2 linked regions of the Lepisosteus oculatus genome follow. Each later gene encodes a partner of the first gene's protein in a complex. Links are inferred from orthologs where the notes say so. Each region holds a gene or a part of one and is shown on either strand. Other genes may lie near its edges.

What was found.
Region 2: satb1a (region 1) and hoxb2a share a complex: the UniProt entries of both Homo sapiens proteins name them as parts of the nuclear protein complex. The link is inferred for Lepisosteus oculatus from reciprocal best matches to the Homo sapiens genes SATB1 and HOXB2.

What each region holds. Positions count from the first base shown.
Region 1 is NC_090705.1:29,695,486-29,706,714, reverse strand, and holds the start of satb1a (DNA-binding protein SATB1a), read left to right. Parts: upstream 1-6,186; 5' UTR 6,187-6,392; intron 6,393-11,229. UniProt on the Homo sapiens protein: Crucial silencing factor contributing to the initiation of X inactivation mediated by Xist RNA that occurs during embryogenesis and in lymphoma.
Region 2 is NC_090723.1:9,254,886-9,266,144, reverse strand, and holds hoxb2a (homeobox protein Hox-B2a), read left to right. Parts: upstream 1-6,714; 5' UTR 6,715-8,033; coding exon 8,034-8,454; intron 8,455-9,506; coding exon 9,507-10,237; 3' UTR 10,238-10,762; downstream 10,763-11,259. Other genes in the region: hoxb3a (homeobox protein Hox-B3a), read left to right, coding at 1,489-1,951, 3,060-3,814. UniProt on the Homo sapiens protein: Sequence-specific transcription factor which is part of a developmental regulatory system that provides cells with specific positional identities on the anterior-posterior axis.

The sequences.
Region 1 (11,229 bases):
AGGTGGCTGCTGGAAGAGGTGTTAGTGGAGCCAGTAGGGGGCGCTCACCCTGTGATCCATGTGGGTCCTAATGCCCCAGTATAGTGACGGGGACACTATACTGTAAACAGGCGCCGTCCTTCAGATGAGATGTAAAACTGAGGTCCTGATTTTCTGTGGTCATTAAAAATCCCAGGGTTACACCACCTACTCTCGAAAAGAGTAGGTGGTGTAACCCCGGCGTCCTGGCCAAATTTCCCATTGGCCCTTACCAATCATGGCCTCCTAATAATCCCCATCTATGAATTGGCTACATTACTCTGCTCTCCTCCCCACTGATAGCTGATGTGTGGTGAGCGTTCTGGCACACTATGGCTGCCGTCGCATCATCCAGGTGGGTGCTGCACATTGGTGGTGGTGGAGGGGAGTCCCCACTACCTGTAAAGCGCTTTGAGTGGAGTGTCCAGAAAAGCGCTATATAAGTGTAAGCAATTATTATTATACTGCCTGTCACTGTGCTACCATGCCGCCCAAATCAACACTTATATTTTTATATTCTGTTTACCTTTTAACCTCTTTTCCACATTATCTTGAAAATGAACATCATTAACCAAAATGTATTTTCTTATATATTAATTCTTTGCATCCAGTGTTTCCCAGCTTATGTCTTTGCTTAATATTATTTTGCTAGCTGAATGTAACCCATTTCTAGTTCACTAACTAGAAGAGAAAATAGATTATGGACATAGACATGGAAGATCCTAAAACAGACACATGTGGTACTCCAATAAGTATACAATTCTGTGAAAAAGTATTTTCCCCTTTCAGATTCTCTGTATATTAGCATTTTTGTTATTTGTTGAGCTTCATGTGGGCCGTAGTGATACTGTATATAAAGAAATTCTTAGTGAACAAATAATACCAATGTTTGTTGACTGTTTCATTTATTTCATATACTGTATGTAGTCATCCAACATCCAATGTCTCCATGCAAATAAGTAATGGTACCCTAGTGCAATCAATTCAATTAAAAAGATAACAAGAGCCAGCTGTGTGAGTACTTTATTTTTGAGCCAGGCCTGCACTATATAAAACTTACAACATTTGGCTCTCATGAGCAGAGTGATCCAATGGCTACAAGGGATACACCCTCTATTGGATTCCAGGGCACACACAGACAAACATACATACACACAGTCACACCAGGGCCAGTTTTCCCAGACTCCATAGCCTACCAGTATGTATTTGTATTGTGGGAGGAAACCAGAGCATCCGTTGGAAACCCATATGAACAATGAGAGATCATTAAAAATCCACACAGACAGCAATGAAAAAAGAACTGAACCCAAGAATGGTATCATTCCACATTAATTTGGCCCCAGTGTCCTGGCCAATTTTCCCCCTGGCCTTTATCAATAATATCCTCCTAATAATCCCCATCTATGAATTAGCTTTATTACTCTAATAGCTGACAACTGATGTGTGATGAGTGTACTGACACACTTTGGTTACAATTGCATCATCCAGGTGGATGCTGCACATAAGTGGTGTTGGAGGGGAGTCCCCATTACCTGTAAAGCACTTTAAGTGGAATGTCCAGAAAATCACTACATACTGTAAGTGTAATAATAATAACCTACAGGTCAGAAAATGTTTAGACAACCACAGTATATAAAGTAGTCAAGCCCTTGAAACTCCTATAGTCCATAGTTTTTCCTCTCTAATTTGGCTTACCAGCTCTCTGTTTATATATCTATCTGAAGTATTATTTATGAAAGCTATATTGTGACATCTCAGTCATTCATACTTTCAGGATGTTGTTTTTTACTCTGATCTACTATTGTAATTTTCCCCAAATGCACATACTATTTCTTATTTTTTAGTCTTTTTGTGCTCTATCTTTTAGAATAAATAAAAACTAGCTTTGGGTGGTTATTACAAAAATTATTTAATTGCTTTTAAACACACTTACTGGCTAATTACCTTTTTTGTGTTTATTCCTTATATTGAACTTCATTTTGTAAGTAATTATATTCCTTAATGTTTACATTTTAACAAACTTTAGTATGATCCCCTTGTAAATGTCTTTCATAAATGGATTTTTATTATCATTTAAAGGTTTAATAAATATAGTTTTAAAAAGTACTTTTTTAAAATCGTTGAACTAGTATCCTTCTCCCTTATATTTACAGACACTATAGTTTTCCACTTATTATACCACCTCAATAGAAAATGTCACCCCTTGTCTATAATTTGTGTTAACTATCTACTGTAACTAGTTTGTAATCCAAATATGCACATTATCATTCATCATTGCTTACACTTATATAGCACTTTTCTGGACACTCCACTCAAGTCGCTTTACAGGTAATGGAGACTCCCCTCCACCACCACCAATGTGCAGCATCCACCTGCAGCCATAGTGTGCCAGAACGCTCACCACACATTAGCTATCGGCGGGGAGGAGAGCAGAGTAATGAAGCCAATTCATAGATGGGGCCAATGGGAAATTTGGCCAGGACGGAGGGGTTACACCCCTACTCTTTTCAAGAAACACCCTGGGACATTTCATGACCACAGAGAGTCAGGAACTCAGTTTTACATCTCATCCGAAGGATGTTTACAGTATAGTGTCCCCATCACTATATTGGGGCATTAGGACCCACATGGACTGCAGGGTTAGCGCCCCCTGCTGGCCCCACTAACACCTCTTTTAGCAGCAACGTTAGTTTTTTCCCCAGGAGGTCTCACATCCAGGTACTGATCAGGCTCACACCTGCTTAGCTCCAGTGGGTTGCCAGTTGTGAGTTGCAGAGCGATATAGCTGCTGGCTTTTACCTTAAATGTCTGTTTTCTTCAATTTGGAAAACATATTTAAATTCTTCAATCCTGCCAGGTTTCATTCCAATTTAGCATATTGGCTTAACTGGGCTAGTTTAACAACTTTTCTCAGGTCCAGGTCAAGGATCAGTGACCATTATACTAAAGTGTAAAGCATATACAGTAGATGTTCCTGTGAGTTAGAAAATAAAACATAGTATAAGACTAAAGGTGTGGAAAAGGATTTTTGTTGCTGTTGCACTTAATTTGCTTTATAATGGTGCAAGTGTGCATAAGAGCAAATCATAACAGCACATGCAATCTGTATTTTAGTAATCCCACGGCTGAGAAAATACATGATAAAGTGGACAACATTAAGGTTGTACTGTATGTATTGTTTCTGAAAACTGTAAAAGAATTCACTCTAAATAACAGCTGCTTTCTGGCTTAAAAAGCCTTAAGCATTCATTGTCTAATCATTGAATGAGGCTTTTTCCTAGTTCTTGAAGAAAGCTGTTCACTATCATTTTTTTTCTAAACCCTTTTGACTTTTACCATTTATATTTCATCTAACATCACTGCTAAGATCATCTTGATACCATCTTCAACACATTCTTCCATTTCACAGACCTCATTTAAACATGAAACAACCTACACTATCATATCAGTAGAGGATTCAAACATTAAAGTATTTGCTGCCACCTACATGTATATACGATATCTTCTTCACAAATAGTAGTGCCTGCATGCACAAAGGGGATTATAAAGTAACTGCTTGATTTAACAAGTGTTCATTCCCCCTATACTGTAAACCAGAGGAAAATAGATAACATACAGTGGTAATCCTGTGCGCAATAAAAATAGGCTGCTGTTATGCTTATTGTGCCACAACTCTAATTGAGAGTTCTCTTGTCTAAAGCACATAGGTTTCAGCTTTGGGAAAATCCTCTAATCCACTTGTTAGGAACATGGCCTTTGTTTGGGGATTTGTAGGTGACATGTATGTAATGTGTGATACTGGTTAAACAAAAGAGTGGTTTTGAAAGTCTGAGCCTATACAAATCATAATTTGCACAGCTTCACTTGAGAACTGCTTATCTATTGAGATCTCATAACAAATTTCGCGTTTTTCAGCTGAAATAATTTAAAATTCTGCATAGGAAAAGCCTGATACCAATGCAAAATAAATTGACTATACAGAATTTTAGGTTTTCTCTCAATGATTTGGGAAAAAATGGCAAAAAAGTGCAGAATTTTTGAAAAGACAAAAATTCAAATCAAAGATGATTACTGAGTTGGTCTGATATTATTTCAGGACAGTCCTTACATTTTTGTGAAGCATTAATTATGGATTTTAACTTTATTTAATACTGAAATTGAAAAACGACGGTTCCGGCGACATTATTACACTGATTTTTATAAAGTAGTGTACTGTATGTGAGATGAAATGGAAAGACTTTAGGGAGAGAGGGTCATAGATACGGTATAAGCGTTATCATATCACGTAATTCAAAACATCGCTCTCTGATGTTTTATGTTAGGAAGAGAGGAAACTCACAGGTTTAACGCCAGTATCTGTCCATAAAGAAAAAACAAAACTTAAATAATCACCATGCGTTATCCTACTGAAGTAGTGTGTATAGCAAATAATTTGTCTCATTTGTCATATAGCTGCATTTTAACTGTGTAGTGTCACATCAATCTGCGGGTCACCAGATGTTTAGTAGAAGTCTAAATTGATAGGAATTCTTAGTTATATGAGATTAAATATACCAGGCTCAAAGAAAAAACGTCTTCGACATACTTAGTAATGGGAAGCATACTATACACTTCCTATACTTAATTAAAAGTTAAAAATAAACTTAAAATATTATCTCTACATTGAATGGAATTACAGTAAAACACATTATCTTTACAAGAACAGTAGAGCACGGTGTACTTTATATACAGTATACATATTGCTGTGAACAACGTGCTTTTTAAAATGATACACGCTACTCTAATCTGAATTATATAGAACTATTAACTATACATTAACGATGCTATATATAAAACATGACAGTATTTTGTTTTGAAATGGTTAAAAGACATACCTTTGTCCAAAAGTTTGATTTTCATTTGAAATAAAATTGGTCACATTACAGGTATTAAAAGAATATGTATCGATAAAATAATGTATTCATAGCTTTTATTATTACTTATTAGCTACTTCTTCGCAGCTGGTAATCACAGAAAATGAATCCATAAAATCTTCAGAATAAAAGTTTTACCAAAGGTACGATGCATTATTGATTCATTTTTGACCATTTTTGCGATCGCTTTCCCTTGTCTCTTCTCCGTTTTATTGTTTTGGATTTTCCGGACACTGAAATTATAAAGAAAATAAAATGCAAAATTTAGAAATGCCACGAAGAACATTTAAATATATAAAAAATACAAATACATTACATTATTTCAAAGTTAGGCAGAGTTTTGCAACGTTTTTGTTTTCCTGGTGCTCAATATTTGAAAACACCTCGCATCGAGTGTTTATCAATGATACTTACTGTAAATATAATAAGAAATAAAACTTTTTAAAGAGTCTCTTCTGGACTGATGGTGATGATGATGATCATTATCATCATCATTCCAACTCTACTACTAAAAATATAGAATTCAGGATATTTTAGGGGTTTTGAAGTTCTTCAACTATTAAGAAACACTGCTAATAATTTCGCTCGTCTTGTCTGAGTTTAGGAGGGGAAAGGTTTTATTAGGATGGTAAAGGATGTCTATGTTATTGCAATACAGTATCTGAAAATGAAACATTTTGTGGTGGCACTACGCGATACGCCTGTTTTATGGTTAACCAGGAATTAATATTTAATTCCGAAGTCTAGATGCGCTGTTTAATCTGCGTGATAATTCAAGGCACGTATAGGTTATTCTCATTTGACTTTGTTCATATTACCTTACATTTTTCATAGCAAAATTATGCATTTTCTATTAATGTAGACAATTTTATTTTTTAGACACGAAAGTACAACAAAAACAATGTGTGTTTTTCTTTAGAAATAAACCACATAAAAAAGTCCAAAATATTATTAATGTATTTTAATAATATTCAGTTTCTTGTCAAGTAAGCATGTGGGGTACAAACATGAACACAGATAAGTGAGACAGGGGGCAAAAACATCCTCGCAGTCTTCACTTCTCCCCGGTTACTGTGAAGCTGTCTCCCCAGGGAGCCAGCTTTGAAAACCGCTATAAAACAGCTCAAGGCTTCAGAAATGCTACGCCACAGCTGGCAAATCACCGATTTGAACATCAGAAACTGGGAGGGGTCGAGTCGTTTACCTGACTTCCTTTCGGAAAACCCTCCTCCCCTTACTCTACCCCATTCCTTAACCCGCGCTGATCTCACTTGCATTCATTCGATTGACTCAAAACTGCAGCGGAGGAACAGTAGCACAGAAACACTGTCGCTGCAAGCTTTGATCTGAGGACTTTTTCTTTATTGGATCTCTCAGGCGGGGAACAACTCAACTGACTTCGTAACTTTTGATGGAAAACGGGAAATTTGACATCGTCTGCTAACTTTGGCATCTTTAAAGGTATCGTTTTTTATTTTCCCAACTACGGTTACTAACACCTGCTATGATCTGCCTATGTGCGTTCTCTATCAAACCCAAAAGTTTACCTTTGCTCTTATCTCATTTACTTTTACTAGAACTCTTACTAGTTATATTTAGAAAAAATAATTGACGATCTGTGAAGAGCTAAATTACGTAATGTTGATATAGTCAGTTTAAAGTTATTTTTCTTAAATAATATTTAATTTAATAATCATTGTATATATGATTTATGATTACAGAGAAAGTAAGGTGATGGAAATATGTCTCTATATACTTTTGCCCAACCCATACGTTGTTTTTCCTTATAAAATAAAGCCACAAACGTGTTTTGGAAACGGGAAGCTGGGACGATGATAGGCAAGAAACACCGACTACGTACAGTGCAATAATTTCGTTTAGCTTTAGTAATTTGCTCTGTGATTTCGGGGAGGGGTGAGAGGGACAAGGGGGAGACTACAGTAGGATTTCACAACTATAACGGTGACTGCCATTACCAGTCATTTTAGAAGGGTTTTAGGTGGATTACAAATCCCCGTACTGAAGAGATTGTAAAGCACTGTTAAAGTTTTGTTTTGCATCTAATTAACTATGATGAAAGTAGAGACCCATTCAGTGAATCTGAATTGCACCGCTGCGACTTTCACCTACAGTACAGCGCACCTGAAGTACATACTGTAGATAATGTAGTTGACGTTAAGGGAAGGATGTAGTGTAACGTAATGGATACTGTCTTGTACCGTTTAGAGAGACTAGTACTGTCTTAAATCTATAAGTTTAGTGACTTATGTGGTCTGTAAAAAAAACAGACTTTTAATCTGAAGTAAGGGTGTAAATATAATTCCCGTGAAAATAAGATTACATAAAAACATGAATAGAATATACGATGAATTAATTCCGTTACGAGATCGTAAATAATTTAAATTAAGACGTTGACACTCAATGTACTGTCAAACAGCTTCAGATGCTTCTTGGAATTTATGAGGAGTACCTGAGATGCATAATTAATTGCATTTTTTCATTATTTGTTTTTTAATTAAAAAACTTTTCTCTTCGTCGTTACATTTTCTAAGATTGCTCTGTCTTTACTATTTGAAATATTGCTCCATCATATATAAGGTAAATCTGGTGGAAAACGCAGGATTGCTTGAGGAAGTGAGGAAGATGTCATCATTCAAAAAGCTCTCTAAATCCGTGAGTTATCTAATGAGTACCTTTCATCACTAGAGTTTATTTTAATGGAAAAGATTGTTCCCATCCATACATTTATTACTGTAAGTTTATATTATCACTACATTTTACTTTCCATCGGTAAATGATAGGCTGTTTAGCAGTTTCCTAAACCTTGGCACATAGTATTCATGTGCTTGAGTTGTCTGGCTAAGTTTGCACCAGATATTTCATTTTAGACTGTAATCTTTCCTGAAATACAGGTAGAGGCTTTTAAGACTCCTTTTATAAAACGGCAGTTACCAAGGATACTGGCGTTAAGTATAAAATTTGGATAAAATTAAAAAAAACTTTTATCCCCAGTGGATCAAATTTACATGAAATTGGCAAATGTATGTCTGTTGAGTACTTAGTGGTAATAAATGTAGTTGATCTGTAAAAAAAAATAACTGAATTGCATACCGAAGCTTAAAATGCTTCTGGTTACAGGAAAAAAAGAACATCTTACCAGACAAGATAATCAGAAGTATCTTTGAAAGCTTTAGTGCAATTATAGTTTGTACCTTATATTTTGAAAACTGACCCAGAAGTTATCTGAAGTTGTGAAAAGTGGCAAATGTATACGGTATCTGTTGATTACTTTGTGGTTATAAATGTAGTTGATCTGCAAAGAAATAACTGAATCACCTTTTCTCTTATACAATTTTTACATTGTATGCCAAATTATACTCATACCTGTCAGAGAAGAATTGGTATGACCTCGGCTTAATTTCCACTAGGTACAGTAATCCATTAATTAGACTTACAGTTATGCATCTTTTAAAAAAGTCATTTTGCAATTAAAGGCCAGGCTTTTGAGTTTGAAGTGTATATATTTGAAAATAAACACTTTAAGTCCTTTGGAATCTAATGAAATTACCAGATGGGCTTGGTTAATTGGGGTGCAAAGGTGAATTTTGAAACACTGCGAGTGGCTGACTCTAAAATGTATAAATCTGTAACACTTTTCTCAGGAAGTGAAAAGCAGCATATCTGCTTAAAGAAAAAAAAAATATTTGGTTGAGTACCTCAACACCCTTTCCAACTGGGAATGGAGATTTTTGCATGTGTGAGGTCAAAATTAATTATGAGCCTTTTCTGTGGTTTTGCTGTTGATGCATGATATTTTGACGTAAACGAATTGTTTTTTGAGTAAGAATGGTAAATGCATATGAGATCACTAATGGGAAGTTGTACTGTATCATTCAAGCAGTGCGTGGGTGTCTGTAAATTAGCTCCATTGTATTTTTTAGCTTTATGGTCCATTGTTGCACACTGAAGTTCACATCAGCAAAATTTTGTTTTTTAATCTTCGTTCTGTCATCTGTTCTAACAACTTTAATAGTGGAAAAATATTGTAAAACAAATTACCTCAAAAATATTTCTTCTACAGTATAATCCGCTGCAACTATTTAACATGCATGTCGTGACAATCATGTTGATAAAACTGACATACTTTTGTTTTGCATCATTAAAATAGACCCATTTAGTCAAAAATACACTTAAAGTGTAGATTGATCTTAATTTAAAAATTTCCATGGAAAAACACTTTGTATTGCAGACACAAACAGAAATGTATGTAAACTTTTCAGTATAATGGAGAGAGGTCCTCTATAATGTATTTACTCAGCACTGGGAAAGAATTGATTATTAAAATGGATTTTAATTTAGCTCCTTCTAGCTTTATATTATTCTTCAAGACTCCATTTTCATTTTGTTTATGGATTTTGGATCCTTTTAATAAAATATGTTATGAATCAATGTTTTCAGGGTTTGGAATTACTCCTCAGTAGAACTATCTACTAGGTTTAAGCACTGTGCATCACCATTATTTGCAATGTTATTGACATACATTTGGAAGTAGCAAAAACAAGTCAGCTTCTGTGGAAATCCAGTGAAGATATATTTGTTTATTATCTACACAGTTGTTATTGATAAAAATAATAGAAATACATACAGTACAAATAATGTAAACCTTATTCATTCTTCTATAAAGATAATATACAATTAAAAGGGGGATAAATTATTAGAGTGGGTCCTGGACATCATGCACAAATAAGCTATAGCCTTGTGCTAGAGTTGTTAGAAATCATGTCAATTCTTGTAAGTCCTTTTAGACTTCTAAGGCAATTTATAAATTGTGAACGTTATTAGCAACATTCTCAGTCTTACTGTATACTTTCATAGATGACTAAAAAGTGTATTATGCATTCAGCAGGTGTGCAAGTGTTGAGCACTCTTCTGATCTTTATGCGAATGTGTTAACCCCGCTTGTTGGCATGACATAACTTCATTACATACTGTAAGCTCTGAGAAATTGTGCCGATAAAGAGATCCTTAAACCATAACCTGATATAGATTAAATGCAGATGCAGAACTGTACGCTCCTTAAGTACTATACTAATGCTCTAGGGAAATGCTGTTTATCAACTGTCAGTGTTTTGTTATTAATAAAAAACACAATTTACTTTTCACTTCTTAGGTTTCCCTCTTCTTTGATAAAAACAAAACACGTTCAGACATTGTGATAAAATGGTGTTACAGCAGAACCAAAAATATGTGATTTCTTTAGAAAAGAAACGTTTCCATTAAGTGTCTGGTTTGAAGAATACAAAAGGGGCTGCTAGTGATACTGGAAATTCAATATATTCTTTAAACTAGGACAGTCTCCTTATGAAGTATTTAATGGATGGCTTGTAAAATTAATCATTTTTTCAGTCAATTTTTCCCAGGACAAGAAATCTAGCAAATACGGTATGCGTTCTTTTAAGAATTTCAGAATGATGAAGTATGTATTGTTTGCTACCAGCACTGGCAGGAAGTCATACCATTTTTGTTTTCTGGTTTTTGTGTTGTGATATGAACCCTGATGATCCCTGCCCAGATTCAGCTTGGCCTGAAGTTTACATCATATTCAGAGCTAATTGGTACTTAATTTGTCAGTTTTATCTCAGAGGAGGTAAGGGGGAAACACATTGTGAATGTGATCTTGATATAGTAATGTTTTTTTCTCACACATAGAAGGTTGGTGAATGTCATTGTTCAAAACAAGACATTGTAAATTTGAATGAGGTTTTATGGCTTAATTGAAAAAGGTTTGAAATGTGTATGCAGAAATATATGTTTTACAAAGAAGAAAACAACATTCTCCTGCACTGAACCTCTGAGACCAATTAGTCTATACATCAATTATTTTATGTGAAAGAGCTCAGTGAAGTGAAATGCTGCGAGATACAGGAAAACAGATATGTGTTTGTGTGTGATTTCTCCTGAATTTACTTGCATGCTTTCTATGACAAAGTAAAATCTCATAAAATAATCCATCTTTTCGTAGTCTGATATTTTAAAGACAATTCTAAAAAACACAAAATGGTTTGCAACGTTTTGCATTTTCAACTGCTTACCATTTTAAGAGATTATATTGTTAGTCGATCACTGGAGGCTGTGATGTCACCAAACAACATAAACTGGGATTGAAGAAATCTTCTTCCAAATCTGGTTTCCAAATGCTTACTTTCGAGACACTGGTTCAAAATGTGTTCACAAAATTCGAACAAAGGTTGTTAAAAATCCAAAACCAATGTATAATTACAAGAATGGATATAAACCC
Region 2 (11,259 bases), on another chromosome or scaffold:
TGGTAATAAAAAACAGATTATTAATGAGGAGGCGCTTAGGTGCTGTGACTGGAAGAGGGGAGGTTTTCATTGCGTTTCGGTGAACCTGGGACCATCCTTTCGACAGACCGGCCCAGCTGTTTAGTTTTATATCCCCCAGGGCCGCGGGGTCAAATTAAAACTTTGTGTTTCGCTCCCAGCTTGTGGGTATCGGGGCAGAGCCGGATGGCCAGGTGCCGCGGTGGTCGAAGGGGAGCGACCCCGGCCTTCCCTCGCCGCCTGGCGGGGTCTGTACCTTCGGTAGGAAGCGTCGAGGATGGCAAAAAAAAAAAACACACAAAAACCAGGCTTTTGCCCGACTGACCTCTCATGCATCAAATCGCAGAGCAGCGGCCGAGACTGTCTATTGCACCGCCCGTCTTTCTCTGCACATCAGGAACAAAGTTCCAAACTCGAAATGAGGAGGTTCAGGCGCCGGTTCTTCTAGTTTTCAATGTTTCCCAAATACGTTGTGTTGTAACCGGAGAAAAAGCCCCCCCGCCCCAAACAAAAAGCCTAGAGCTTAACATCGATCAAGACTTTCTGCGCTAAGGCCCTTTACAAACCGATCGTTCTTTTCTTTAAACAGGATTCTCCCCTTAGACGTGTCAAATTTATATTTTAAGAATTTGTTGTTGAGAAAATCGGATGTATTTTTCTCCGTAAATACATGAAAAAATAAAAATAACCAGCACATTCGATATGCCCTCCTCTTTCAAAAGTAATAGACAGGAACGGGCATTAATTGTTATGGTGTGACTCTTTAAAAAAAAACGTTCTTTTGCTCATAAATCGTTGGAGTCACCCGGCGTCATTTCGAACATTTCCAGGCGAGTTTATAACATTTATCCACGTACACATGTTTCTGCTTATTTGAATGAAAACGAAGCAGATGCTACAGCGCCGTCACAACCGCAAGATATAATTCGTTTATGTTGCCGCTTAGGAAAAGGCGAACTCGCTTCCAAAGAAGCTTGTTTTTATTGGAACAAAAAAAAAAACCTAAAAGAGGAAAAAATATAAATCATTGTAAAGCAAAGGGAACGGTTAAATAATAATAACAACAATAAGATATTGCATTACCCACAGGTCTCAGTGTACTGTACAGGGAAGATAACATTTAGGACACACAAAAGATGTAATCGGCGTGTTTTTATTTGGAAGACGAGTATGAAAGAGCCCCGAGCTTATTCGTTACTCTGCCCAACATGTGTGCCGGCGAGAAAAGAGTCAGCCGTCAGAGACGGGCATCTGCGAGCCGGGTTTTTGTGGAAACGGCTATTCATGTCAGGAGGCTTTTCAGGGGCGAAGATGGATTCGTGCCCGGTCCGGCGTTATCGTGTGCTTCTTCTAACCTTTCAGGTCAGCTTGCAAGAGCCCGCTGGAGAGAGACGGTCACGTGACCCCTGGGGCCAATGTTCTTCCAGAAGGTCGTCAGGACCCTGGTAGCCGGTGCAACTAATTTCGGAGATGCAGAAAACGACCTACTACGACAACTCGACACTTTTCGGAGGCTACTCGTACCAAGGAGCCAACGGCTTCGGCTATGAGGCGCCCCAGCAGACCTTCCAGGCGTCGGCCCACCTGGAGAGCGACTACCAGCGATCGGCGTGCTCGCTGCAGTCCCTGGGCGGCGGCGGCGGCGGCGGCCCGCCACACGCCAAAGCGAAAGACCTCAACGGGAGCTGCCTGCGCCCCAGCCTGCCACCTGAGCACCCACAGGCCCCCCCCGTCTCCCCTCCCCAGAACCCTGCCAGCTCCGCCAACAGCAGCTCGGCGCAGCAGCCGGGCGGCAGCAGCAGCAGCAAAGCCGCCGCCGCCGCCAGCAAGGCCTCGTCCCTCCCCCCCAACCCCAACCTCACCAAGCAGATTTTCCCCTGGATGAAGGAATCGAGACAGAACTCGAAGCAGAAAAACAGCTCCCCGAGCGCAGGTACAGCTCACGGGGTGTCCTTCCCCCCCCCACCTTCCTCGCTTGATTATGACGGGGTTGTTTTTTTTTTTTGGTACCCGATTATTTTTCTACCCCCTTTCATCAGTCGAAAAACGGTGCAAACCAACGCTGTCTGGTGTCCGAAGAGAAACGGCCATGGAGCTAAATCCTGCAAGGCGATAGGCGTTTTCTTCTGTTTATTTTTGACACAGACTTAGGTAAAGGAGAGGGGGGGGTGGATACCTTTGGTGTTGCCACCACTTGAAAACCGGATGCTGTAGTGTGGGTTGTGCCTCCAACACCACAAATGATGTTGCTACGGCTATTTAGAATCATAGATATCATAAGAGGAAAACTGTCAACGTAGAAGACAAAAAGGCCTCCGTTCATCACGCGTGGACTCGCTTTTAACTGGTTTAAATGTGGTTCCGCACCTGTTTGTGGAACTGGGTGGCACCGAGCTGCCCGCAGAGGAAGAATCACACTGCACTTCTCTAATAGATAAAAGGCTCTGTTATATATGAGCTCATCACTAGTGTTAAGATATGCAAATGCCCTAATTCACCCAGCTGCCCCCCCCCCGTAATAAACTAATTTTGGCATTACCTACAGCTACAGCGCTAAATATAACAGGAGAGGAATATAGCTAGAGATCTATTTATAGATATGACTGACGTCACGCACATGCAACTTACATCGCAGGTGCAGGGGAGACCCATTCGCGTGCGTCTTGCACGTGGGATCTCACCCGCGCTCGTGCTGGATAAATAAGAGACATGGGGCTGATATAGCGCCTTTAAAAGCCATCAAGTCAACTAGATGCGCGAATACAATATTGGTGCATTGCAAGGGGCTGGCGTTTGTTTTTAATACAAATTAATCGCAGGGAAAGTCGTTCCAGCTGCGTTATTGGCTATAGGGCGAGCGAAGCAATTTACATACACCAGGTCAGCGGTGGGGCGCAGATCTCTTAATAAACGCCACTGTTATGAAGAGGCGACAACTAATATAGAGGGGTTAAGTTTCCGTGCCTGTTCCCTAGTTTATTAGGAAACGATGCATTCAATTTCTGTATGTAGTAATTATCTTTTATTTCATTTCCACCCAGCGGAGAGCTGCAGCGGCGAGAAAAGCCCCCCGGGCTCGGCCGCCTCCAAGCGCGCGCGCACGGCCTACACGAGCGCGCAGCTGGTGGAGCTCGAGAAGGAGTTCCACTTCAACCGCTACCTGTGCCGGCCGCGGCGCGTGGAGATGGCCAACCTGCTGAACCTCAGCGAGCGGCAGATCAAGATCTGGTTCCAGAACCGGCGGATGAAGTACAAGAAGGACCAGAAGTCCAAGGGCATGGGCTCCTCCTCGGGGGGGCCCTCGCCGACGGGGAGCCCCCCGCTGCCCATGCAGTCCTCCGCGGGTTTCATGCACTCGATGACGGGCGGCTATGACGCGCCTTCCCCGCCCGCTTTTAACAAGCCTCACCAGAACGCCTATTCCGTGTCCACAGCCTACCAAAACCCCATGAAAAGCTGCCCTTCCCAACAGAAGTACGCCAACACAGCGCCAGAATACGACCCCCACGGTCTACAGGGTAACGGCAACAGCTACGGAACTCCTAACATCCAGGGTAGCCCGGTCTATGTCGGCGGGAACTATGTGGATTCCATGGCGGGCTCCGGCCCGACCCTGTACGGCCTGAACCACATGGCGCACCACCAGGCCAACAGCATGGACTACAACGGCGCCGGGCAGATGCCGCCGAGCCAGCACCACGGACCGTGTGACCCTCACCCGACATACACCGACCTCTCAGCGCACCACCCGCCTCCGGGCCGAATCCAGGAGGCGCCCAAGCTCACGCATCTGTAGCAGGTTTGGCACGCGAAGGGGACACTAACACGCGGGGGCGCCTGCGACGGGATCGAGCAGCAACGGCAACAGCAACGGAAAGATCCAGTGGTTTCTCGTGTCCCGCGAAGCGTGGAAATTCGGATGGCTTTTGTTTTTTTTTTTTCATTTTAAAAATAAGCGAGAGACAGAAGAGTTCCACACGTTTTCTTTTCGGTTGACGTGCAATTGTACGTGTGACGTACCCCCTGACCACCCTTTTTTTTAAAAAAAAAACAAACAAAAATAATTCAGAAACGGGGTAAGACGGGGTAATTGTAGTCGGTTAACCCAATAAAATCCGCCATATATTATATGTATATGGGCCGTGCCGCTGTGCGTGTAGGCTTTTCAGCACAAAGTCTCCTCAAGGTGATTTTGTGGTGTGTGGGGGGGCTTTTTTTTAGTCTTTCTGGTAATTTCCAGTGTTTTGTACATCGTCGCCCAGACAGAGGTTCCCAGCTAGTGAACGATCAGTCCCTGGCACCAAGGAAACCACTGGATTGTCGGCTCTCGCTTTCTTTCCTTACCTCTATCCTCCAACGTCACCTTAACTCACCCTCCCCCTGCGCCCGCGCCCACCTCCACGGATAGCGAGAAGAGAGGCGAGCAGCTCAAACTTAGTCTTCAGCACAGCGTCTACAAACGGGAAGCTAAGTTCACGCGTCACTCCCCCTGCCACCCCCACCTCTGCCCGTCTTCTCTGCTCCGAGACCCCACCTTTCTCTCTGTCTGTCTTTAGGGTTCACTTACATGAGGTAGCACCAATGCAAAACAACCCCCCCCCCACCTTTATCTTCTCTTGACTTAACGTGAAAACAGGGTATATTTGAACACAATGCGTGCCCGAGGAATGAAGCAGAAGTGAAGATGTTTCGGTTTTCGCTCGTGCTTCTTGTCCCGGCATCATTGTTGCACTTAGAGTTTACATTTTAATGGGTAAAAGAAAATAATGAAACAACTTATTTTCGAAGGAAAGACCTCCAATCAGCTCAATCGTGGCCGTCTTTCTATACGTGTGTTCGAGTGAACATTCATAAATATATATATTTATTTGTTATAGCCAGTTTAAATATTTTCTTTTTTGTATTATTTATCCCCCCCGACATTATGTATTTATATCAAGAAAAAAAAATGTACTTTTTTAGTATTGATCTGTTACGAAAGACGTTGTGTTCATGTCATTGTAAGCAAATTTCTTTTAGTTCTTGTATTCTAGGCAGATGAGTGGTTTTATGTCAGCCTTGTACATATAAATAATGTAATGAGTTATACTGCAGGCATGAGGACGGACCCAGACTGTTACTGCATAGTGGCGAATTAGAAGTCTAGCTTAACTTCCTTTTCGAAAATCTCCTTTTGTTCCTGGTAGTTACTTTTCCTTTCCTTGCTGAGAGTTGTCTGTTGAACAATTCTTTGAATAAAATTTTCTGTTATTCATTTTTTCTCGTCTTTTACGCGTCTGCACGATGCACACGCCGGGGGAATCACGACACGGTTTCTCTCTCTCCCTCTCAGACAGACACACACACACAACTGCGGTTTCAATTTGTAAGCTCAATCCTCCTCCTCCTCCTCTCTCTACCCAGAACCGCCGGCAGGGAGCCGGAAGTGCCTCGCCGCCGTGGGTGGGTCACGTGCGCTTCAGCCAAACACTGGCTCGCTTCTGCCAGGGATGCAGAAGGCGGGCGAGAGAGAGGCACTGATTTCTCCCTGGTACAGGCCTGTCCACCCTGAAGATGTCCGTCTTCACACATCCTTGTGACCGTGGTGTGGTGCTTCCAGGGGAGATGGTCTGTGAGGAAATGTGTCTCACATAACGGTGTGGGATGCGTAGGAAAAAACAAACTGCGAGAATCAGGGGGAAAGTCTGCGTGAAATAATTATTTACATAGCGCACAAGAGTCCCCTTTTCCATGGCGCAGTCGTGTATTCTCGCAGCGGCAGGTCTTGTTTTTGATGTGTTTCCCCCCGGTTGCTGTTTTTCATTTGATATGCAAGGAAGCCATTTGGTTGAACATCTTCAACCAGCGCCGCGAAGGCACACGCCCGGCCGTCCCCCTTCTGTGAGAGCAGCAAGGCCCCTTCTCTTCAGGAATACCGTTTCAATCGCGGACAGCGTCGCCGAGGAGAGTTTTCCGAGATTCCGCGAGCATTATTTATTGATGGATCGGTGAATTGAAAATAGAAATCCCGCCCCTCGATGATTTAAAAGAGTACGCCGTCAGAGAGGCACGGAATGACCCGACTTTTTTGTTTTGTATCAATGCCAGTTTGCAGCTTTCACATTGTTGCACATTTATTTTCCAGATAAAACATGATTACAAATAACAATAAAAAAGAAACGAAATTTCAACAGACAGGACGAAAAGAACTAAGAACAAACATCCTATGCAATATTCTATAGAATACAGATAGTCTAGCATTCAAGTAGCTGACGTTTTAGATTTTGGAGAATCGAAAGTAGTTTTTTTCGCTAAACCTCTCAAATACAAGCTGCGAATCCTCCGCTCCTTACATCGCCTGCTTGCGGAGTCATCTCCAGAGAGGGCCCGGAGCTGCGTTCAGGATCTCGCCCCGGCGCATTCACCGGAGCGCCTGCTTTGTGCAAGCTTTAAAACGCCTTACACGCCCACGCGAGGTTTTTTTTTTCTCCCTCAGCTTTCCTAATGCCTGCAGAACAATTCAATGGCTAAAAGCACGACATTTTGGGCCCACGCATTTAAATCTCAGAGAAACAGAACAGAGCGAAAGCATTTCTAATCTCATTTTAAAGCCGTGCTAGAAAACCTAACAGTTGCGCCAGGCACCGGTTGTACAGTAACATTTTTTAAACGTGGTGGATTCGAAATTTTTTTTAAATAATAATAATAATAATAATAATAGCTGTAGCTCCAAAGGAAGGACCTCTTTTGTTGTGCTGGGAAGGAAAAGGCAGATTCTTGAGGCCAGTTTGAATTCTGGCTGTCAAGCCCTTTGCTGGGAGAAAGATTGATCACTCCTCACTATTTCGGCACGCCGTTTCTAAAAATACCCTTTCCTTTACATTTCGTTTAAAAAAAAAAACTAGTATCACAATGCCTAATGCGGTTTAAAAAAAAAAGGAAGACTTGTGTATATTTGTCCATGAAGTTTTGCCTGGCACATTTTAGCAACACAATCGAATTGAAATAAAAAAGGGAGATGCTCTCTTGTTCCTGCGACCTCCCAATGAACCCTAGGTGTTCCAGATACTGGAAATAAACACCCCGTTTTAGAAAGCTAAACGTTTCTCGACCACCGGGGCCGTGTTGCGAGACAGCACGTTTACTTCTCTGTTCTCTATGGTTGTCAGCGGCCGCTAAAAATGTATGCCGCTGCATATAACTCGGGTGAATTAAGAACAAGACTGATCTTGAAAAGCCACTTACATTAGCCTGGGTCTCGCCGTATGATCCCACTGCTCGGTTCCCTTTATGAAAAAAAAAGTGTGTAATGGTACCTCTCATCCCGACAGAGAGTGTTGCTGCCCATGCACAGTGTATGTGTGGTGTGTGTAAAAGAGAATATTCTCATTTTAAGCAGAGGGAACGTCAGGTTTCTAACCTGAAAGCCACTGTCTCGGTGCCCACAAGAGGAAGTTCTTTTAACTTCGTTTTGCCCTGTCTGTTGGTCTTGTCAGAACCTTAAAGATTAATGACCTTTGCTCATCACAATGCCCAAGGTTCGCCAGCCTGCGAACGTCTTAATCGCCCCAATTACAGTATACAACACATCTCACCGTCACCCCCACAGTCTGGCGTGGGACTCCCCACAACACTGACGCCCCGAAAACTCTCCTGCGAGAGTCAGGTGCAGACCCGAGATTTTTTATTATGATGATGATGATGAGGCGTCGGAAATGCAACTCCCTAGCAAGTGAAACAAAACCAGGCTCCTGTGTTTTTGGATCAATTGGAGAAAAGCATGCTCTCTTTTTTCCTGCAGGCCCCGAATTTGTAATTGGTCGTTTTGGATCACGTGACGAGGAATTGGTCGCATTTTCGCCCTCGTCTCCACAGTTTAGCAGCCCCAGGTCCCCATACGACAGTAATATCACCAATATACACAATTATTAAAGCCCGCAAAATATCGCAGAGCGGGACCCTCGTTATTACGCGGTGTTTTTTATTTTTTTTTATTATTTGAAGACACCAGCCTTGCTTTCCGACCAGGAGAAGCTATGAATTTTGAATTTGAGAGGGAGATTGGGTTCATAAACAGCCAGCCTTCCCTCGCAGAGTGCCTGACGTCTTTTCCCGCTGTCCTGGAGTCATTTCAAACTCCATCAATCAAGGAGTCGACATTAATTCCTCCTCCGTTCGAGCACACAATCCCCAGCCTCAATCCCTGCACCGGCAGCCAGGCGCGACCCAGGAGCCAGAAAAGAGCTGCAAATGGCCTCTCGCTCCGCACCCCAGCGCCGCAAAGCCCAGCTGCTCCGGCGACCGCGGGGCCGGCGGCGGCCGAGTTCCCGTGGATGAAGGAGAAGAAGTCGTCGAAGAAGAGCCAGCATCTCGGGGCTGCCGCCGCCGCCGCCTCCTCCTCCTCCTCCTCGCCCTCGCCCTCCGCGTTCGCGGCAGCGGGGCTGGACTCGCCGGCAGGTCGGTGCCAGAATTAAAGCTGTCAGCTTTGCTGTTATTTGTAAGAAAAGAGAAAAAAAAGCCGCAGACCGTGAAGGTTTCTAGCACTTTAATTCGGAGAGACTGCACGAAAGGATTTGCCTCGGTGACAACACTAGCTCTTTCCCTGCTAGGAGATATAAATATAGCGTGCGAGACGCAGTTTGTACTTTTCACACGGTGACACGGTGCCACCGGCTCCGAATGACAACGAAATAAGACATTTCTGTGCATTTTTTTCCCCCAAGACGCTTTTGTTTGCCTGACCAAATGAGCAGAGAGAAGGAGGGTATTTCATGGGTGGTGTAACCCAGTGTAACCCAGGCAGGCATTCCCTCTGTGTGAGGGCAAAATCGGTCCCTTTTAGTTTAGGTTGTTTTTTTTCCCCCGTTGCATTTATTTAGAAAATCAGTCGTTCGATATGTTTACTGAACACCCTTTTGAACTGTGATGGCTCATTCAAAGAAAATCTAGCGACAAGGGTCATTATTTTATTTTTCGTGGGGAACTGCAAAATGCATTGACACAAGCAGATATGTGGACGCGAAGTCATGTTTCGATGTACCTGAAAAGAAGCCGACAAAACTGTTGTCTTCAAAAAAAAAAAACGAATCCCTCTCGGTTATATTCATCTCTCAATCCGTTACACTGATACAATCTCGGAATTTGATGGTCTCCAAGTGTCTTAAAGGAAACAAAAAACACACACACAACCTCTGAAGAGGAAGAAAGAGCTCTGGGCACAACTGAAATTTGGCTACAGAAAGGACGTTTGCGTTTCTAAATCATTTCTCTTTATTTTTTGGAAGAGGTGTGTGCATCGGACTTCCTATGCACACATTCCTGTATAATTACATAACGGAGCACAGGGACAGATTGATGAATCGTTTTATGATTTGTTGGAGAATGCTTTCTAGTTACTTATTTTAATGACAGCTAAACAGCACATTTTTTCCATGTCTGATTCTGTGGTTATTTCGACAGCTGGATGTTTTATTCTTTTTTTTTCTTCCGTTTTTTTTGTTTCTTTGCAGAGTCTCAGAGCGGGCTGGAGTCCGGCGGCGGGTCCCGCCGGCTGCGGACCGCTTACACCAACACCCAGCTGCTGGAGCTGGAGAAGGAATTTCACTTCAACAAATACCTCTGCCGGCCCCGCCGGGTGGAAATCGCCGCCCTGTTGGATCTAACGGAGCGTCAGGTCAAAGTGTGGTTCCAGAACCGCAGGATGAAGCACAAACGGCAAACCACGCACCACAGGGAGGGCCAGGATGGAGACCCGGGCGGGTTCGAGTCCGCGGAGGGCGCGGAGCCGGCCTCTCCCTTAGCCGGCCAGCCCCTGGACGTTTCGGGCCCGGCCGCGCCCGAGAGCGAAACGCGCGAACCGTCTTCCTCCTACGCCAGCGGCCAGGACGGCGAGCGGCCCTCCCCTGAGGAGGAGCAGCAGCAGGGCCGCCGCCAGGACCTCGCACCGGGCCCTGACAAAGCTGTCAGGTCGCCTGAGCTCCCCGCGCCCACTCACGATAACCCCACAACAATGAGCCAGGGCCGCGCATCTGGCCCGGATAATGCGTTTCCCGAGCCGCAGGACGCCGCCTCCCTCGCCGAGCTCAATTTCTTCTCCCCCGACTCCTGCCTACAGATCTCAGATGCTTTATCGCCGAGTTTGCGGAGCTCGCTCGACAGTCCGGTGGATTTTTCCGAAGAGGATTTCGACTTCTTCACGAGCACCCTCTGTACCATCGACTTACAGCACTTTCAGTTTTAGGACAGAAAGGGGCAGAGAAGCGACTTTCGTTCTCGAAATTGTAGACTCTCGTAGTCGCCTCAGCTGCAGGAGCTCACCCATATTTCACCCCTAGAACACAGACTTTCATTATCCGGGTTTCCAGTGTAAAACGAACTCGTACGTTATTTAAATGGGATAGAGACTCTACAAATATTCGGTTTCTTACAAGTCCAATCATGTTTTGACTTTCTTGGAAGTCTCTTTTTCCGAACTTCAGGTATTTAATTTTTTATTTTATTTTGATTTTATTTTATTTTTTTAATTTATATTTATTGGCGTTAGAGGAAGGAGTCGCGAACAGTGTAGCCTACTCAATCGATAAACTCTCAGGAAATAAATAAAAAAAATGTGACTGGATAGCGAGCTGCTTTTAGAAATTCTCTCGAAAAGGGTATTGTCCCTCTTTCTGGGTTTTAGAACTAGTTTATTTATTGAGATTCTTTAATAGTAAAATGCAAATTATTTATTGTACATTATTTTCATAGATGAAATAAAACCTTTATAAGCTTGATGAAAGTGTGTGTTTGCATTGTGTAAAAATATTTAGGGTTTGAAGTCCCCGGTGAGCTAAAAGCATTTCACATTAAGTTAGAACATGATTCCAAAAAATAAATTCTGTGAAATTTTTTAAGGATTTTCGCACAGCAATATTTTGGTTAATTTTTTATTTTTTTTTAGATTGGCATACTAATAATTTCTTGCTCAAATTAGAACAATCCAATTAGACTTCTATTCACCAAAATATAGCGAACATTTTGATAACGATGGAAAGTCAGAATAGCTGGTCTGCGTTGTTTCATTAATGTATTTGTTTTGTGTAGAATGTGCAGAATCGGAGCTTGTTTCTATTATTATTATTATTATTATTATTATTATTATTATTATTATTATTATTATTATTATTATTATTTAGAAACGTCAGTAGTTTTCTCCACCAAGTCATGAATAACTAACAAAAAAGCTTAGATTCAATCATTCATCGTTAGGATTATGTTTTATTG